Bombyx mori: one gene and its partner. The protein of the gene in region 1 purifies or fractionates together with the protein of each later gene. This does not show direct contact. Links are inferred from orthologs where the notes say so. Each region holds a gene or a part of one and is shown on either strand. Other genes may lie near its edges.

Region 1 (3,020 bases):
CGGACTTGATCATTGGCTTTCCTCCTATCAATGAAAGCTACACTTCAAATGTTACGCTAGTCAAACCACATTTGGTAAAAGCAGAGTGTTCTGATGGAAGACTCTTCCACCATATGTTGACCCTTTGGAGATTCAGTCCTGGTCTAAAAAGAGAACAGCAGTCGTGTGTTGTGGACTTCCAGATAACATTCGAATTTAGATCAGCTATACATTCACATTTATCTAATTTGTTTTTTGACCAAGTTGCTCGACAAATGGAAGGTGCTTTCATTAAAGAAGTCGGAAGGCGCAATGGGCCGGCAACAATGCAGCCTAGAAAGTTACTAATAAACAATCACACTTTGAAAACTTGACGCTTACTAATTGCAAACCAAAAAAATTAGTTCAATTCAGTGTACATAATTATTGAGTATTTATTGTGATTACTTTATGTAAAAATTTGTGAATATTATATTTTATCTATTAGTCTGTTAGAAATGTGAGGCAGAGCCATTGTGATTTAATGATAATAAAAAGATAAAATTTAAAGTGAAGTTTTATTTACATTTGTCCACATTGAGATATTGTTACTGGTATTTTAGGTTTATTATTTGGTCCTGTTGGTACATTTTCTATTTTCCTCATGACAAGTAATCCATCTATAACTCTACCAAATACTACATGCTTATTGTCTAAGAAATTACATTTTGCACATGTGATAAAGAACTGACAGCCATTCGTGTCTTTACCACTATTTGCCATGGACAATAACCCTGGAGAGTCATGTTTCAAACCAAAGTTTTCATCTGCAAAAGTGCTTCCACCATATATGCTCATAACGCCTGTACCGTCTCCCTAAAATGAATAGTAAATATTAATAAACTTCCATCATGTTCAGTTAGGCATCGTTTTATCATAAACAAAACTTAATACGTACATTTACGAAATCGCCACCCTGAATCATAAAATCTTTTATTACTCTGTGAAAAGTAGCTCCTTTGTAACCTAAGGGCACACCATCCCGCCTGTATTCACCGGTACAAAATTCTCTGAAGTTCTCACTAGTTTTTGGTACTACGTCGGCGAATAACTCGAATATCATACGACCTATTTCCTAAAATAAACATAAATATTTTATAAACATAAATTTTTGTGTGTTCTTTTAAATCTAATAAAAAACAATAAGTTCGGGGAGGTATTTACCGTTGTTCCTACAGTAATGTCGAAAAACACTACTGGATTGTTAGGATTCCTAAGTTGTGACTGTATTTGGTTCCAAGTAGGCATTTCAATGTGTTAATATTGAAATTTTTACTAAAACAACATTACATTTGTGTTAACAATTTAAAACTTCTATAAGTTTTAGTTTGTTTGATGTTTATTGTTACCCGGCTGTCAAATTTTGAGGTTATACTTTTGACATCCTTTCCTTGACATTAGGTAGCTTACAAGCCTATTTGTCCAGATCTAAAAACGGAATTTCTGGTGACTTCAAAGGACAAAACTTCACGTTTAGCGAATTTGTTACATTTTAAGATTATAGCAGTTTCTTCTATTTCGGCGAATCGTAGATAATAATAAAACTATCCTAACCGTTTAATTTCAATTATTTCTAACGCTTAGAATAACTACATAAAGTATTCGTGATCACAGACGACTATGGTATTATTCGTCAACAATTGTATATTGGGCGGGACTTTTTTTCGGGGAAGGACAAAGTCGTGTAAATTATTGTATTTCGTAAATTGTGCGTTTCTTCAGATTTGAACGCCATACCTATCTTATAAGTTTTAATGGAACCTTATTTATTATCTAACAAATACCTACGGTGATGTCTTTCTTAATTCACTTCCTTAAATTTTATCCCATGAGCAATTAATTTAATTCCATTATTCCCCTTACCTAACATACATTTAAATTTATATATATTATATTTATATTTATTTAAAGGTTACAGTTTTGTGACAAGAGTATTGAAATTTGTATGGTCTATCTCCTTTTGCCCGTCCAATGAACAAATTATAGATAATACAATAAAGAATGAATTTCAAACAATCAATCAAAGACTGGGCCAGGCCATAAATAAAATACAAAAAAATTCTAATCAAAGACTGGGAAGTGGGAACAGCAATTGAATTAAAGAGAGGTAAACTATTTTTTATAAATAAAACTCTTTTACGAGTTTTTATTAAATATGGAAAGTAATGACCTACCTATTGATTATTATCAAATACTAGATTGCGATAGAACAGCAAGCCTTGAAGAATTGAAGAAAAGTTATCAGCGACTCGCTTTGACATTACATCCCGATAAAAATAAAACTGATGATTCTGATAATAAGTTTCGCCTATTACAAAAAGCTTGGTCAGTTTTAAGAGAACCTAGCACCAGGAAACAGTATGATGCTACATTAAGTTGCCATGAAAATAGTGATCTATTGCTTTATGAAACAGTAAGACTGTCTGAAATGGTGTTTGACAGTGATGAAAATGTGTATTTATACGATTGTAGATGTGGTGGGGTGTATGTGCTTAATAAAAGTAATTTTGTGCAATCTAGTGTAATAATTGGATGTGATGAATGTTCATTTTCGATTCAAGTGAATAGATAAAAAAGTATACATATTATTGCAGTTTTATTTATTTATTGTTTTATGTTTGGCTGATATTAAGTTTTCATCGGAACGAATACTTACAAAGTGAATGCCAACAACCACCACAGTGTAACTTAAAACTTTGGGTCGGTTTCATTTCGTTTACTTTTTTATGTTAATTAATCTAGATTTCAAAAAAACTTAGTTACTTTATGTAATCATTTTAATTATGTCTGATTATGAAATATTTGAAATTTAAAGTATAAAGTTTAATTATATAAATATAGTATTATAATAAATAGAGTATAAATATTGCAAAGTTCCAAAATATACATCTATATAGTTATCAGTATAGTTTAAAATACAGACATACAATAATCTCCTTCTGATTCTAATATTTAGTCATTCATTTTTTCCAAGTCCAATTCCTAACCATTTATTATTATTA
Region 2 (4,072 bases), on another chromosome or scaffold:
AAGCAACCTCAGCAGTAGGATTTTTTTTTTTTTTTTTATTACTTTCGATAGGCGGACGATCTTACGGCTCATCTGATGGGAAATGATAACCGTCGCCCATAGACATCCAAACTACATCAGTGACTCAGATGCGCTGCCTATCCTGGCCTGGATGGGCAGCCTTATGTATGTTACACCGGCTATCCTGTCCTTCAGACCGGAACACAGTATTACTGTTTTGCGGCAGAAATAGACAGGACGGTGGTACCAACCCGGGCGGGCTTCTACACAGAACCCTACCACCAGTGAAGTAAGTATTCAGATCCAGGCCACTGCCCCAGCATTGGTGATTTCCATGAGCAATTGTTACCACTCACAGTAAGGTAAGCTTTGTCTGGTTAAGTAGAAAAAGTACTTGAATAGCTAGAATAACTAAAACACCGAAATATTTCGTTTTTAAAGCAGTTAGAATTTAAATGTTCTGAAGTTAAATGTACTCACAGTAGCAATCACAGGTTGCCTTATAGAATAAATTGGCAATTAGTTCTTCAGACTGTGAAATATTCTCTTCTGTTCGGAGCCACAAGAGCCAATGATCAACTTTTATAACTGACATCTCCCATAATCTTTCAAACGCCGTTCGCCATTGCCCCAGTTCCGATAGACGCCTGAAAATTTGATATGCTTTGTTTTTGGCAAATACATATCTATAAATTATAAAATTCTAACTCACATGTTTAATAAAAAAACAAGATTTGAAACACTTTGGGATTCCCCGCTCTAAATGAAGTAATATTAAATTTGATTAAAGGAAAATTTCTGATCAAAACATTTTAGGAACAAATTATTAAAAAAAAAACTTATTTGAGAAATTCAATATAATAATTACCACAAAGTCTGGATCAATTCAATGTGATCATCATAATTAAAAGGATGTAATGTGATTTTGTGTTCATATTCGGCCACTTTCCTCTGCCAATCTCCCATCTCCAATATTTCATCCTAAAATTTATTATTTCTGAATATTGTAAACATTTTCAATTTTTACTTTGCTTGGATATTGCACAAGTTATAATAAATATTCACACTCCTTGGAGGTTTGAAATAACTAGTTACTAAGATAGTTTTTCTTGTATCACTCGATTATGTTTCAATAATTTATACACATGACCATATTCTCAATTATTCACTTCCTTGAATTATAATTTAATGAGCTCAGTAAATTACATTTAAGAAGATAGTAATAAACTTTATAATTTTGTGAAACTTATGTATTAGGTGCACAACGAAATTCTTGCTATTTATTAATATGTGGCTTCAACAATAAATGCTGGTCAATTTTGATGGAATTATGATCACAAATAAAAAACATTGCCGGGAAATGTTTTCAAACTCAATTAATGAGATTAAGTCGGACACTGCTTGAGAAAAAAGATCAATTACTTGAGGACCATATACAAACAATATATTATCTTTGAATACCTTCTCATTTCCTTATTTTGTTAAAATCTTATGTTTTTATTTTTAATTAGTAAGGGTTGTGTTTTCATTCAAGGCAACCGTGTCATCCCAACCCTGTATGCTAACTACAAATTTTATAACAATAAAACGTTTTTTTCAAGACTGTAAAGCAACTGGCTAGATTATATTAAAACTTTATTTTGGACATCCAACCCTCTTGACAGCAACTGTGGGGTTATAATAACAATATTATAAGCACAGAAAATTATTTTACTATATATATTTTAACATTGTTTAATAGTTATACGTTTCTCATTTTATTTATTGATAAATTTTATCTTGTGTGTCCATGAAAAATGTAACTGAATTGTATTTGAAGCATAGGAATAAGACAAATATCTTAGAAACACAGGGATTAACAGTGCATATGTTGAGTCCATCCTGTTGCTGAAAGTGAAATTTGCAAAATGCCAGTGGAGTTTAAGCTTTAGACATTAAATTGCTCGATTAAATCATAAAAGAAGTTTTAGTTATATCTATGACCTTTGAAAAATGAAGAAAATACTTTTATATTATATTATCTTTAAATTGACCCAAAACTTAATTTACATCTAGACATTTGTGCCTACAATTATTAGCAGAGTTTACGTTTTCATTCCAATTCATTGGAACTAAACTGAGACCTTAGTACTTATATCTCAAGGTGGGTGGCGCATTTACGTTGTAGATATCTATGGGCTCCAGTAACCACTTAACACTAGGTGGGCAGTGAGCTCGTCCACCTATCTGTGTAATAAAAAACTAAAAAAATATAAACAAAAAAAACAATGAACCAAAATTTCATTTTTTTTATTTGTTTAAACTTCCCTTTACATATGCTATTGGTGTCACAATAAGGTAGATATTTTTATAGTTAAGTTTGTACAGCTACATACTAAAGAAAGCAAATATACAAAACATGTTTACATTCTATTATGATACATTGTATTATGATTTCAAAATTAGGTTCAATTTGTATTTTTAAATGGAGTTAATAATTACAAATTATAATTTGCTTTGGTAAAACGTAGAATCACATGTATTAAAATGAAAACCGGCTAATTAACTTGAAATACAGACAAAGTATCATTTTGTAAATTAAAATCAGAATAGCTTACATCAGAATCTGGATCCTGGTCGCCATCATCTTCTTCAACCACAACTTCAATTTCATTTTCCCCTTCAGAACCGTTCTGAATTTCGTCTTCTACTATCGCCATTGTTTATCACACGAGAGTAATCAATAACTGTGTAGTTTTGTATTTGTTAAATTCACAAACGAACGAATAATGGCGATTGGCAGAATGTGATTGTGGAGGTATTTGTCAATTGTCAAAATAAAGTAGTGGTTCCATTTTTCTAACTGGAAAGGCAACGAAATCCGACCATACAACCTAATTTTTGTATTTTCTGTTTTATAAAAACTAAAAGGAACGAAATGAAATTAAGTTGATTAATTTGAGACATTACTCAATTGTGATAAAATTATGAAACGACATGATATGCGATAAAATATAGTCTCAGTGAAATGATGATTTTTTACGTAGACTTTTTGGAAGATCCCGAGAAGCTATCGAATTTACTTATCATGCAATTTAAGAAAAACGGGTTAATTAACAAATTGTGAACTTAAACATACTTACAGAAAAATAGTGAAAATTATTGAAAATTGGATTAACTTTTTAGAAAATATTTGGGAGATTTTGTTCCTTTTTCCAATATTTGTGGACTTTTAGAAATATTAGACAGTGAACAAACCACCAATGGTCAGACCTGAGGTTTATCTGAAGAATCTGATCTAAAGAATCTCTAAATTAATAAAATCTCAAAACTCCAATGCTTACCTTGGCTATACTGTTGCCTGTAAATGTGGTAGAAGGCGTCTCACCTTATAATTATCGCAGGTGGTAATGAGTCACAGCTACTTGGATCTTCTTTTTTTTTCCCTACCTATTTGCTAGTGGCATAGATAAGATATATATACCGGGTTGGTGGCCTACGGGGCTAAAGTCCATTCCCGATCCTGCGAACCGAATGGAAAGCAGTCGACGTCGCCCAAAACACACCATTACGGATCCTCCCCATCCACTAACGATGCTTTTAGGTACCTCAAGCACCGGTCACCGTCCTCGCCAAACCCGTAGTTTGCGACGAAGGGCTCGGCGAGTAAATTAACCCACAGACACAGCCCACTGAGTTTCTCGCCGGATCTTCTCAGTGGGCCGCGTTTCAGATCCAGTGGTAGATTCTGCGAAGCACGGCTCTTGCTAGGATCCATGTTAGCAACGTCGTCAGGTTTGAGCCCCATGAGCTCACCTACATGTTAGGGCGAAGCTGAAATAGCCTCTCAAGTTTATCAGCACAGGTAAAAAAAAAATGCGGGCCTATATTTAGCTTCGCATGGACTGGTTGGTAAGCTCACGGGCTCAGCCTGAGAGAATTTGTCAACGCCAGCCCTAGTAGAAGCAGTGCTTGCTTCGCAGAATTTACCACTGGACCGAAATTGCAACCCATTGTGATGATCCGGGGGGATACTCAGTGGTCTGCCATGAACCAAGACGAGGACGATGCCCGGTGCTTGAAGAGCCCAAAA

What was found. The genes of interacting proteins can lie anywhere in the genome.
Region 2: the proteins of peptidyl-prolyl cis-trans isomerase H (region 1) and squamous cell carcinoma antigen recognized by T-cells 3 purify together in Homo sapiens (affinity purification with mass spectrometry; 3 studies listed by BioGRID and IntAct, with this or other methods). This does not show direct contact. The link is inferred for Bombyx mori from reciprocal best matches to the Homo sapiens genes PPIH and SART3.

Annotation. Positions count from the first base shown.
Region 1 is NC_085116.1:6,472,060-6,475,079, reverse strand, and holds peptidyl-prolyl cis-trans isomerase H, read right to left. Parts: upstream 1,607-3,020; 5' UTR 1,267-1,606; coding exon 1,183-1,266; intron 1,094-1,182; coding exon 917-1,093; intron 835-916; coding exon 541-834; 3' UTR 523-540; downstream 1-522. Other genes in the region: coenzyme Q-binding protein COQ10 homolog A, mitochondrial, read left to right, coding at 1-353. UniProt on the Homo sapiens protein: PPIase that catalyzes the cis-trans isomerization of proline imidic peptide bonds in oligopeptides and may therefore assist protein folding. Participates in pre-mRNA splicing.
Region 2 is NC_085122.1:6,475,709-6,479,780, forward strand, and holds the start of squamous cell carcinoma antigen recognized by T-cells 3, read right to left. Parts: upstream 2,814-4,072; 5' UTR 2,700-2,813; coding exon 2,598-2,699; intron 982-2,597; coding exon 869-981; intron 648-868; coding exon 481-647; intron 1-480. UniProt on the Homo sapiens protein: U6 snRNP-binding protein that functions as a recycling factor of the splicing machinery. Promotes the initial reassembly of U4 and U6 snRNPs following their ejection from the spliceosome during its maturation.